Linked DNA regions of Ovis aries. The main gene of each other region encodes a partner of the protein of the gene in region 2 in a complex. Links are inferred from orthologs where the notes say so. Each region holds a gene or a part of one and is shown on either strand. Other genes may lie near its edges. The genes, in order: HMOX1 and NADPH--cytochrome P450 reductase.

Evidence for each region.
Region 1: the proteins of NADPH--cytochrome P450 reductase (region 2) and HMOX1 are in contact, whole or in part, in a crystal structure (PDB 3WKT), measured with the Rattus norvegicus proteins. The link is inferred for Ovis aries from reciprocal best matches to the Homo sapiens genes POR and HMOX1. Residues at the interface, in NP_113764.1 of Rattus norvegicus: Thr88, Thr177, Asp208, Asp209, Arg313, Arg514, Lys515, Gln517, Arg519, Leu520, Phe522, Lys523, His626, Lys665, Met667, Thr668, Lys669, Gly670, Tyr672; in NP_036712.1 of Rattus norvegicus: Asp12, Ser14, Glu15, Gln38, Ala75, Pro76, Glu81, Lys149, Ile150, Lys153, Ser171, Asp173, Asn174, Thr176, Lys177, Phe178, Lys179, Gln180, Leu181, Arg183, Ala184, Arg185, Asn187, Thr188.

Annotation. Positions count from the first base shown.
Region 1 is NC_056056.1:179,236,928-179,242,806, forward strand, and holds part of HMOX1 (heme oxygenase 1), read left to right. Parts: intron 1-1,574; coding exon 1,575-2,066; intron 2,067-4,470; coding exon 4,471-4,570; intron 4,571-5,553; coding exon 5,554-5,684; 3' UTR 5,685-5,879.
Region 2 is NC_056077.1:34,589,300-34,596,247, reverse strand, and holds the start of NADPH--cytochrome P450 reductase, read right to left. Parts: upstream 4,277-6,948; 5' UTR 4,194-4,276; intron 1,823-4,193; 5' UTR 1,769-1,822; intron 1-1,768. UniProt on the Homo sapiens protein: This enzyme is required for electron transfer from NADP to cytochrome P450 in microsomes. It can also provide electron transfer to heme oxygenase and cytochrome B5.

The DNA.
Region 1 (5,879 bases), on a different chromosome or scaffold from region 2:
TCAGTTTTCCAACCAAGAACTGAATTCATGCTCCCAGCAGTGGAAGCACGGAGTCCTAACCATTGGACCAAGGGGAATACCCAGCATGATTTCCTTAAGTGCCCGTTGTATTTGAGGCATGAATTTTTGCTATTACCCAGCACAGTTGTGAACTTCATAACAGGTAGAAGGAAAGCATGTGAGAAAAGAACCTGGCAGGTGCTGGGTGTGAGGAGAGGCTTGTTTGGGTTGAACAGTGTGCGTGGGGAGCTGTGGCTCACCACTCCTGACACCCTGCCTTTGCGTACTGGGAGACGCCCCCTACTTCCAACAGGAGAGGTGCTTCAGTGAAGGGCGATTTAACCTGCAGCTCTAAGGGGCTCACAGCCCTGGGCTGTGTCCTGTGGGTGTGAGGCTAGCCCTTACTCCTTCGTTCTGCCCTCCACCCACGTGAAAAAGCTGACATACACTTGCTGTAACGTGACTGGGGCAGTGGGAGTGGGGAGGTGGCCGCTGGAGTACCCCATGCCCAGCCACTGTACGCTTTGGAGCTTCCTTCTTGGCCCCTGAGTTCAGAGTCTGCACAAAGATCCAGGAGAGGACCCAGTGCTCGCTCAGATTGTGCTGATGGAGGTAGCGTTTTTTATCATCACGGTCCAACTTCAGTGCTGACTACCAGGTCGCGCCTAGTGCTTCACCTCTGCCATCCTCCCTGATCCCCATACCTGCCCCATCACTCTGTGGTCAGATTACCCTTCTACATAAGGAAGGGAACCTTGTGCAGAGTCACCCAGGCCCCAGATTGCCTAGAGAGGGTGAGTGGTATTATCCACCGTCACCCAACCAGGGACTGGCCGAGTGGAGTTAGGACCAGGTCGGTCACAGTTGAAAACCCAGGCTGCTCTGTACCAGGCTGCCTGGGTTTCTGCCCTGGTGAGAGACAGTGCTCCCATGAATGATTAAAGGTTCAGAAATCACCTGAAAACCTCAGCCGGAACATCTAAACTTTGTCCTCTTTCTAACTCAAAACTAGAAAATTAATGTGTAATGGGAGTTACCCGAGCCAAGGGGCACTGGGCTGTCTGTCCCCCAGCCCAGCTTTCAGAGGTGATGGGGTTCAGAGGGGTCTTCTGGGGAGAGCTGTGCCCTGCAGATGGATCCCCAGAAGTCAAAAGCCAGGGAGAGGTGCCTGGCATCTCCTGTAAGCACTTTCATTCACTTACTTTCTCCAGAAAGCCATGCCTGTGCTTGGCTCCATTTCTGTTTCTTACTAGCTTTGTGACTTCTGTGTCTCATACCCTCTCTGAGCCTTAGTGTCTTTTCTGTAAAATGGGCATAGCCATTCCTTTGTTAGATTTTTCCAAGGATGAAATGAGGATTCGTATTTTTTCCAGTGTAATAAAAGGTTTTTAGGCTCAGACAGTGCACGATGAAAATTTTCTCCTGTGACACTTTCTCTGGCTGCCACGTGGGGAGGATTGGAGGGGCTGGCAGGAGGTGGGAGCCCAGCCTGGGGAGGTGACAAGGATGACTCTGAAGGCGATAGTGCGAAGGGGCTGGGTGCTCTGATAACCACCTACTTGCTCTGGTTTCAGCTGGTGATGGCATCTTTGTACCACATCTACGTGGCCCTGGAGGAGGAGATCGAACGCAACAAGGAGAACCCCGTCTATACTCCCCTCTACTTCCCAGAGGAGCTGCACCGCCGGGCCGCCCTGGAGCAGGACATGGCCTTCTGGTACGGGCCCCGCTGGCAGGAGGCCATCCCCTACACACAGGCCACCAAGTGCTATGTTCAGCGACTCCAGGAGGTGGGGCGCGCCGAGCCCGAACTGCTGGTGGCCCATGCCTACACCCGCTACCTGGGCGACCTGTCTGGGGGCCAAGTTCTCAAGAAGATTGCTCAGAAGGCCCTGAACCTGCCCAGCTCTGGGGAGGGCCTGGCCTTCTTCACTTTCCCCAATATCGCCAGCGCCACCAAGTTCAAGCAGCTGTACCGCTCCCGCATGAACACGCTGGAGATGACCCCCGAGGTCCGGCAGAGGGTCCTGGACGAGGCCAAGACCGCCTTCCTGCTCAACATCCAGGTGAGGGTCTGGGCTGTGCTGCGTGGCCACCCTGCCTCCAGCTGCTCTTCCAGGGACATTTCTCGCAGGGTTGGGGGCGGGGGGCGTCAGCGGTCATGGTTAAGGGCAGGGGCTTGGGGTCCAGGGTTCCAGTTCTGTCACTTACCTGGTGGGGTGATCTTAGGCAAATCTTTATCTTAATCACTTTGTACTTCAGTTTCCCTATCTGTAAAATGGGGATATAATAGCACTTAGCTCACAGAGTTGTTGTGACTGCTTAAATCAATCAAGTCCCCAAAGCAGGACATGTTACAGGGTCAGCCCTCGAACATTCAGTTCAGTTCAGTTGCTCAGTTGTGTCTGACTCTTTGCGACCCCATGAATCACAGCACGCCAGGCCTCCCTGTCCATCACCAACTCCGGGAGTTCACTCAAACTCATGTCCAGCGAGTCGGTGATGCCATCCAGCCATCTCATCCTCTGTTGACCCTTCTCCTCCTGCCCCCAGTCCCTCCCAGCATCAGGGTCTTTTCCAGTGAGTCAGTTGTTCGCATGAGGTGTCCAAAGTATTGGAGTTTCAGCTTCAGCATCATTCCTTCCAATGAACACCCAGGACTGATCTCCTTTAGGATGGACTGGTTGGATCTCCTTGCAGTCCATGGGACTTTCAAGAGTCTTCTCCAACACCACAGTTCAAAAGCATCAATTCTTCGGCGCTTAGCTTTCTTCACAGTCCAACTCTCACAACCATACATGACCACTGGAAAAACCATAGCCTTGACTAGACGGACCTTTGTTGGCAAAGTAATATCTCTGCTTTTCAATATGCTATCTAGGTTGGTCATAACTTTCCTTCTAAGGAGTAAGCGTCTTTTAATTTCATGGCTGCAGTCACCATCTGCAGTGATTTTGGAGCCCAAAAACATAAAGTCTGACACTGTTTCCACTGTTTTCCCATCTATTTCCCATGAAGTGATGGGACCAGATGCCATGATCTTAGTTTTCTGAATGTTGAGCTTCAAGCCAACTTTTTCACTCTCCTCTTTCACTTTCATCAAGAGGCTTTTTAGTTCCTCTTCACTTTCTGCCATAAGGGTGGTGTCATCTGCATATCTGAGGTTATTGATATTTCTCCCAGCAATCTTGATTCCAGCTTGTGTTTCTTCCAGTCCAGCGTTTCTCGTGATGTACTCTACTCTGCATATAAGTTAAATAAGCAGGGTGACAATATACAGCCTTGACGTACTCCTTTTCCTATTTGGAACCAGTGTGTTGTTCCATGTCCAGTTCTAACTGTTGCTTCTTGACCTGCATACAGGTTTCTCAAGAGACAGGTCAGGTGGTCTGGTATTCCCATCTCTTTCAGAATTTTCCACAGTTTCTTGTGAGCCACACAATCAAAGGCTTTGGCATAGTCAATAAAGCAGAAATAGATGTTTTCTGGCACTCTCTTGCTTTTTCGATGATCAGCGGATGTGGGCAGTTAGCTACGGTTATTGTACGATGTGAGCATCACCATTGTGGCACTCTGTGACAACTCCCTGTGACGACATACAAGTAGGCTGTGTGCTCATATGTAGCCAGGTTGGCACTGCAGGGTTCACGGATGCTGCAGACCTGGCCTCCGCCATCTGGGCCTCTCAGCCCAGCCAGGAGGCGTGATCTGTTCTTTCTACAAGTGTCTCAAATCCAGGGGAAGATGGGTTTTGCCTTGAAAGGTGATCTCTTAGGCAGAGCCAGGGTGGGTGTTCCCAGTGGGGGTGAGATTCCTTCTAACCCTGATGTTGTAGAATTCTGTCGCTCTCCTCCTATCTGGAGGCCCTGTGGGAACTGGGCTCTTAGTTTATGCTTTCCTGGCTCCTTATTCCCAGCCTGGGATCCCAGAAGAGATTGGTCATAGCACTTGCTATTGAGCAATGTGCGTCCTTTGCATACCACTAAAAACCCAGCACACCTGGTCACTCTTCTAAGAAAAGCTGTATCTTTCAGAAAGGTGGTGTAGAAAGAACAGGCGCTCTGGAGCCAGAGCCCCATGGGAGGGCTGGCCCTTTCCGTGTGACCTCTGGGTTAGTCACCACCCAGGCACTGAATTTCTGGAGCAACAATGTCCTGGTCTGTAACCCTGGCTAATGAGTACCACAGAGCCTTGAGTGCCTGCTTGGGTACCACTCAAGACATGGTAATTTGCAAAGGGACCCAGCATACGGGCATGAGTGGCCATTCAGAATGGCTGTTATTGGGGAGCATTTGGAGAAGACCAGACAGGCGAGTTAATGAACTTGTGACATCTTATGTCTTAAGCTGGATGTTCGGTATTTTTACTGTGATTCTGTTCTGTCGTGCTATTTCACAATGAAACCTCAGACCTCCCATCAGCAGGCGTGGCCCCACCTTTCATGGAGACGTGCGCTTTGTTCTCTTGCAGCTGTTTGAGGAGTTGCAGGGGCTGCTGACCCAGAAGCCCAAGGACCGTGATCCCTCGCAGGGACCAGACCTTCACAGGCGAGCCGGCAGCAAGGCACAAGGTGAGGGCCTCCCGGGGGGCGTGTGTGGAGGGCACGTGGCCCAGCCGTCTGGTTCTGGTGTCTCAGACTCTTCTGTCTTCTCCAGGCTTTATATGGGAAGTCGGGGGTGGAGCCAGCCTTCACCCAGATGACCCCCTGCACCTCAGTCTCCCCATTCTAGAATCAGGGGGGTTGGGCTGGTTCTAGGTCACTTTTGAGTACTCAAAGGATACTCTGAAGTCATGGCAAGTCCTCCCCCCCCCCCCCCCCCCCCCCACACACACACACTGTAGGTCCCTTGGGGGTCTGTTAACAGTTCCCGAGCAGAGACCCCCTGACTTGGGGCTAGGGGCCCAGGGCAGCTTCTAGCTAGCCCCCCGCTGTGGATGCAGGGTCCTGTCTTGGGTTAGTCCCTCCCTCAGGCCGCTCAGCGAGCTCGCTAGGGGGTGGCAGTGCTGAGAGAACATACGGGAAACTTCCAGAGCACCAGAGTGCTCCACAGATGTCCCCTCCCTCCCTGTGGCGAGAGTGTGGCTTGGGGAGTGAAAGGAGGGGAGGGGTGAAGCTCGGCCACCTGGTTGGCAGGTCATCTCAGGCCTCTGCTCCTGGTGCCACCATAGCTCACGTGTGCCAGGACTACATGGACCCCTCTGTTGGTGGGGTTTTGCAGGGAACACTGGAATGTGGCCATTCCTGATGAGATTACCCAGTGGGGGTGGGGGACTTAGCCCTAACACATCAGTTCTCAAACTGTGGTAGCCTGGGTACCCCTGGAGAGTACTTCTCACAATCTGCCTGAAAATGGAAGAGTGGACAGCTTGGAGAGAAGTTAAGTCAGCTCCCTGTCTTAGGAGGTATCCAAGTAGTGGTTAGAGGGCTACTGGTTTGCAACTAGTGGGGACTTTACTAGACCCTGCTGAGGCGCCTCTGATGTGTTTTTCTGTGACGTCAAATGGCCCTGCTTCCATCTTCCAGGAGTTGACATCATCTGCCTTTTCTTTCAGACTCGGCTCCCGCCAAGGCGCCCAGTGGGAAGCCCCAGCCCAGCGTCCTCTCCCAGGCACCTCTCCTGCGATGGGTCCTCACACTCAGCTTTCTGGTGGCCACGGTTGCTGTGGGGCTTTATGCCATGTGAATGCGAGTGTGCTGCCTCCTGGGGGGCCGTGAAAACTGTTCGTGGAGTGGGGCAGCCTCCTGGCTGGCTTCCTTCCCTTGAGCTTGGGGCAGGGGGCAGCTGTCAGGGCTCCTGCTGTCTCCCTGCGTCCCTCCCTTCTGGATAAAAGGAGCCTGAGACATCTCCACCAACCCAGAGTACATCCAGTCAGTGACC
Region 2 (6,948 bases):
TGGACGGCTTCTGTGAATCCTTGTAAAGGCACCCTCTTGGGGTTTGGGTGAGGACGAAATGGGCTAATGGATTAAGTCACCGAGTTTATATATTGGTTCCCAGGGACCAGGATGTCCTCCTCTTTCCGGTTTCCTACAGACAGACTCCCTCCCAGCCCCCTTCCCTTTGTTCCTTTCTCTGTTATGCAACCAAAGTTTAAATCCTTCCCGGTTTGAGGCCAGCTGCCGAGCAGATGGGAGGGTGTCTGTGTAACGGGAGGTTTCGAAAGTCCCATCTTTCCTGCCTCCCTCCGCATTTTTGTCCACGTGCAGCTGGAACAAGACCTTTGCCTGCTCTCCTCAATATTACGAAAAGTCGGGTGTTTATGTTATCTCCTGGCTTCTGCTCCAGCGGTCACCATGGCAACCAGAACCCAGTGCCGGCCATTGAAAAAGCCTCTGAGGAGGAGCCTGCTTGGTTTGCATTAACATTCAGTTCGGACAGCTCTTGTTGAGAGCATCTGCCTCATGCCTGTGCTGAGCAGTCACTAAGCAGAAACGGGAGTGATTTAGAGCTGGTCCCTGACTTTGAGGGGCTGGCCAAGATATAGAACGTCTCGGTCTAGTTCAGTGACTCTCAAAGTGTTGGCCCTCAAACCAGGAGTTTTCCCATTACCTTTGAATTGGTTTGAAATGCTACCTTTCAGGCTTCTTTCAAGGTCTACTAGGGTGGGTAGAGGGGGTCCTGAAATCTGGGTTTTAACAAAAGCCCCCTCCCTGTGATGGTGATGGAGGCTGGAGTTTGAGAACCGTAGATCTAATTAAAACCTCACCCCATCCCAAGAACTGGGAACTATTGTTCCCACGTCATAGATGAAAAAACAGAGGCTCTGCCCTGCTCTGTGTGCAGACTAGCTGACAGCTTGTGAAGGGGTTGGGTTCTCAGATCCCTTCCAGTGTCAAATTCTGCCTCTGCAGCACCTGTGACAAGGTGAGGAGCAGGTGTTCTTTTTCCTGGATCCTGGCTGGAGAAACAGAGAGGTACCTTATTCTCTGCCCAGCAGGGTCAGGGCCAAGCGACAACGCAAGTGGAAATGGGAAATCACAACGGAGGGAAGAAGAGCTGGGAGTAGGGTCCGAAAGAGCAGCAGCAGCCCTGGTGACAACCACCCGCCCCAAACGTGGGGACACTGAACTGACATAATACCCTGCTGCCCTCATAGCCGAGATCATCCAGGCATCTAAGCCAGATCCTCAGTCCTGAGGCCTCCTCTCCTGCGTTCACTCACCTGCACGCTTGGTTGGGCTCTTTCCACGCTTTTGCCCCTGCAGGCTCTCAGGGTCCCCTCTTACACTGCATCTGCCTGAACACCCTCTCCCCAAAGATGGAATCGCCTCTTCGGCAACCAATGGCCTCCAGCTTCTCTCGGCCCATATCTCATGACTGGGCGCTTCCTGCCTGTTCAGAGAACCCATCCACCTTTGAAATCTCTGATGGGCTTAAGTTTCCCTTTAAGTGAGCTGACATCCATCCCCGTGAAATATCCACCTTTTACAATATAAGTTAGTCTAATCCCCCGTAACAGAGATCACAGGCTTATTTTTAAAGTAAGGCGATCCTTGCCAACTATTTCCCATAAACCTACCACCCGCATTTGCAGATTAAACAAAGCAGGTAGACGATATCAACACTTTCGCTTGAAAACAGTGAGGTGGGAGCAGAAAGGGACAGGCTGAAGGATCAGAGGCGCTGGAGGGAAAAGTCACTGACTTGGATGCTCCGTCTTACCACTTCTTGCCCAAGAGACCCTGGCAGGACCGCAGCAGTTTTCACAGGAGCCCCCTTCAAGAAAAAGAGCACAATATTGCAAATATGATTTCCCAGAACTTGTTTCATTTTGTTGAAATCAGTCACAGATGGATGGTTTGTAATGACAGAAAAGGTAAAACTTAGCATGTCTTCAGTGATCGTTTTCACATACTTTATTGTTTCAGCAAATGGGAATCTTGAAGCTTAAGTAACTTGAGTTTTGTGGAAATCTGCCCCTGACTCAGGGCCTCAGTTTCTCATCCTATCCCCCATCCAAAGTTGGTTTGAGAAATGAGCTAAAGGAAGGTGAAACCATCAGCTGAGATGTTAGTGTGGCCTCTGATTTCTAAAGATGAATGCTTGCAGCCTGGGCATGAGGGAAGCTGGTTGATTATTCCTGTTAATAATCAAGAGCACCAGATGGGCAACCCAGATTAGCATTCTGCCCTGGGGAGGCCTCAACTGGAGCTCCAGGACCAAACCAGTAGAACCAGTAAATTCAGGGAACTAGCTCTCTTCCTACCAGAAAGGAAATGCTTGTGCAGATCCATAAGGACAATAACAGGATTATTTTAATCTTAATCGTTTTGGCAACTCTGGCTCTGTCAAGAGAAAGGCTGTGGTAGCTCAGGAAATTTAAAAAAAACTCTGGTTTCATTCCCCAGAACGTCTTTTTCAAGAGGGATGAGGATTTAGCAGGAGAAGGAAGGAGCGCTAGAAACTCCTGCCTTGCCTTGGGCTGCCCAGCCAGCCTGCAGCCCCTTGACCACCAACCCTGCTTTGCAGAGGGTGTCTCCTTCTCCTCTCCCTTTTTATTTTTTATTTATTTATTTTAACATTTTTTTGATGTGGACCATTTTTTTTAAGCCTTTATTGAATTTTGTTACAGTGTTGCTTGTTTTAGGTTTTGTTTTTTTGGCTCAGGGCATGTGGGATCTAGGTGGCTCAATGGTAAAGAACGCACCTGCCAGTGCAGGAGATACGGGTTCGACCCCTGGGTTGACAAGATCCCCTGGAGGACGGCATGGCAACCCAGTCCAGTACTCTTGCCTAGGAAATCCCATGGACAGAAGAGTCTGGTGGGCTGCAGTCCATGGGGTCACAGAGGATCAGGCACAACAGCTGCTTGTGGGATCTTCGTTCCCTGATTAGGATTCGAACCTGCACCCCCTGCACTGGAAGGTGAAGTCTTAACCACTGGACTGCCGAGGGAGTCCTCCTGTCCCCTTTTTAGAAGGTCTCCAGAGGACACCCCAGCTCCTGGCCTAAGCTGGGGGGATCCCCCATTGCAGAGGCTGCTGGTGCCTGCCCCCCTGAGAGTTGAGGAGCTTCCCAGGCTGCAAGGGGAACCCCATCTATCTCTGTAGTGCTGCTTGCAAATGAAGCTTGTTCTCATCCCCCACCCCTTCCTGGGTCTTCTAGGGCAGTGACTTCCAAACCCTTAGGCAGAGAAATCCCTGGACACCATGCATGCCAAAGAGGCCCCTTCAGGAGGCCAGGGGTCAGGCAGGCGAACACATTATCACTCTGCAGGGTGTCCCAGAAGCACAGAGCTAGAGAAATTAGGGCTGGTTCCCCAGGGACTCAGCACCACACCCTTCACAGTTCTGGCCTGCACCTCCCCAGGCACGAGGGCATCCACATCCTCTCTAATAAAAATGCCTGCCCGGGATGCCCTAGGGAAGAAGGAAGATGACCATGAAGACCTGGGCCCCCACGAGGCCCTGAAAATTGATCCAAAAGTTGCCAGTCCTTGGCTTGGGGCCCCAAGACTGGAAGTCTGAAGTGGCTGCAGGAGGGGATGAAGGTGAGAAAAGGTGGTGTGAGGAAGAGGGTGGGGCACCCACATCCAGGCCCACCACAAACCGAAAGCTGAGACGGTCCACCCAGAGAAATCTTTAAGATCATCCCAGGCCACCTCCCTATTGTACAGGTGAGAAAACTCAGATCAGAGAGGTCGCAGCACTTGTCCAACGTCACACAGTAAATGAATGGCAGGGACGGGACTAGAGCCCTTGCTTCAGCAGCTCTATCCACAACTTCCCCTGCTGTACCACCAGGCCTGGGCACAGGCTGGGGACAAGTCCCGCACCAGCTCCTTCCTCTTCCCTTCCCTTCTCACACCGCCCCCCACCCCCAACCCAGTCTGGGACAAGACAGACCCCAGCCAGCTACTCCACCTCCTCATTGAGGCTTGGTTTCAGCCACCCTGCCTTTAGCTACCTGTCTTGGTTCTGGTTGACCTGCCAAGTACAGGCAGCCTGCTCTCTGCCCTCCTTGCCCTGAACCTGGCTGCCCAGGAGGGCCGAGGAAGGGTGAGGCAGCAAGGCTGCCACCTCCAGTGTTTAGCCTCTGGCCCCTGCCCCCTTCCTCCTGCCCTGCCCCATGCTGAGAAGACACCCACCTGGGCAGCTGCAGGTGTGGATGCCCTGGACAGGGCCAACCGGCCAGGCCAGCTCCTGGGCTGAGGCACCGTCCTGCCTTCCCAGGGCTTGAGACCCATGGTGGCCTTTTATGGAGTGGAGAGGTGTGGTGTAAGGGATTAGGGGTGGAGCCCAGGGTACCTATATCTAAAAAACGGCCCCACCCCGAGTGCTCCTGCCAGGCGCTGGAATCAGAGCTGGTTCCAGAATGGTTTGTGCCTTGGTCAAGGCCCTCATCCCTTACAAAACAGCACAGATGCCCCATCCAGCCAAGCCCAGCCTTCCTGTGGGACTGGTCAGGGCCCAGGCGAGTGAGGCCAGTTCGGGACATGCAACCTGCCCTTGTACCCTATGGTCCTCTCTTGGGGTGACTCAGAACTTTGCACTGTGAGCCACGCAGATATGACTGTCCCCACCTACTCTGGGAGCTTGAACAAGTTATTCCACCTGCGGCCCAGTTTCTTCACTCTGAAATGTAAATAATAATACGTACTTCATAGGATTGATGCAGAACCTAGCACGTAGCTATTCAATCACTATTTGAATGAATGAATGAATGAGATGACTACAGTGGACAAGGGGTCTGGAAACCCATCCTTAGCAACCTTATTTCCTCACATCTCACCTTGCTTGCTCTAGACACGCCAAAGTCTCTCTCATTTCCCAGCTCCTTCTGTAAATATGTCCCACGTGCTCTCGCGATCAGGCTGTGACTCCCTTCCAGTGTGGAAGGTGGCCTCCCAACAGCCTCTGTGCCCAGACAGTCTCCCCCATGGCACCTGGCTTAGGAGTGACCCATGACCTGGTTCTGATCAAGGAAACAAGGAGGGGAGTTCTTCTGAGGGGGGGGCACAGAGGGGGCTCCCAAGAGCAAGACCTCAGAGGACATGCTGCCTCTGTGACTCTGGATGTTGTCATGCCCACTGGTGACATGGGCTCTCTGGTAGCCCTCATGCAGCCGCGAGGAGAACTGGCCAGAGGACAAAGCCAATAGTGGTTCCTGAACTGCCGGTCACACCGTGCCAATTGCCCACCTGCTTCTGGACTTCTTTCCATGTGAGATAATGAAGGTCCTCATTCGTTAAGCCAGTTTGATTTGGGGGGTTTTTTTCCCACTCACAGCTGAATGTATCCGGCCTGATCTCTCCAGCTCCTACCTGCACATGCACCCAGCTCCGGGTTTTGTTCTGAGGACCCCAAGATGAACCAGGCTCTGTGTTTGCCCTGGGGAAGCTCATAGTTGTGAAGAGGGGCTGGCAGGTAATTAGATGGTTACAAGCTTGTGAGCAGAGGTTGAGAGTATCTGGAAAGGGACAAACTGACTGTCCTGGGCAGTAAGAGAAGGATTCTGGGAGATGGGTTTTGAAGGATGCCTAGGAGTTTTACAGACAGATGAAAAGAATGTCTTCCAGGCAGAGCTAACAAGGTCAATGAAGGGGTATAACTTTGCTTAGAGAACATCAGTTCAGTTCAGTTCAGTTCAGTTCAGTCGCTCAGTCGTGTCCGACTCTTTGCGACCCCATGAATCACAGCATGCCAGACCTTCTTGTCCATCACCAACTCCCAGAGTTCACTCACACTCATATCCATCAAGTCAGTGATGCCATCCAGCCATCTCATCCTCTGTCGTCCCCTTCTCCTCCTGCCCCCAAACCCTCCCAGCATCAGAGTCTTTTCCAGTGAGTCAACTCTTCACATGAGGTGGCCAAAGTACTGGAGTTTCAGCTTTAGTATCATTCCTTCCAAAGAACACCCAGGGCTGATCTCCTTTAGAATGGACTGACTGGTTGGATCTCCTTGCAGTCCAAGGGACTCTCAAGAGTCTTCTCCAACACCACAGTTCAAAAGCACCAATTCTTCGGCGCTCAGCTTTCTTCACAGTCCAACTCTCACATCCATACATGACTACTGGAAAAACCATAGCCTTGACTAGACGGACCTTTGTTGGCAAAGTAATGTCTCTGCTTTTCAATATGCTATCTAGGTTGGTCATAACTTTTCTTCCAAGGAGTAAGTGTCTCTGAATTTCATGGCTGCAGTCACCATCTGCAGTGATTTTGGAGCCCCCAACAATAAAGTCTGACACTGTTTCCACTGTTTCCCCATCTATTTCCCATGAAGTGATGGGACCAGATGCCATGATCTTAGTTGTCTGAATGCTCGGTGAGGCTCAAATTAGGCCCATTGAGGAGTGGTGAGCAGAGACTGAACACCTCACCCAGGAGTTGTTCCCAGGAGCACACACAGGAGTCTGTGTACACTGGGGAGCCAGTGAAAGCTTCCTGCAATGTGTGCATCTTGGATCAGAAGAGCCTGGGTGCTCAGGAGAGACGTGACCGAGATCTTGCCTGGGTGGGGACAGGAGGGTGAAATGGGGGAACTGGTGAAAGAGGTGTTCTAGAGGCCCAACCTTGGGCCTTGGTGACTGAGGGAGAGAGTGAGAGTGGAAGGGGAGGGAAACATGATGGCTGGATTCCTGGTATGTGAGGAGGAGGAGTGACTGTATAAGTCTTGGAGGAGAGAACTATGGTAGCCAGTCTCCAGGATGGCCCCCAACGATCCTGTGCCCAGACAGTCATGCCATGCGTAGCTCCCTTTCACACTGTTATCAGGAGACTGAGCGACGGGACCACGAACATAGGCAGAAAGGGTGATATGTGACTCCCCAAAACTGGATCAAAAGCCGTCGTAACTTCTGCCTTACTCTCTCTTGCATCACCAGCTATGGGGGAAAGC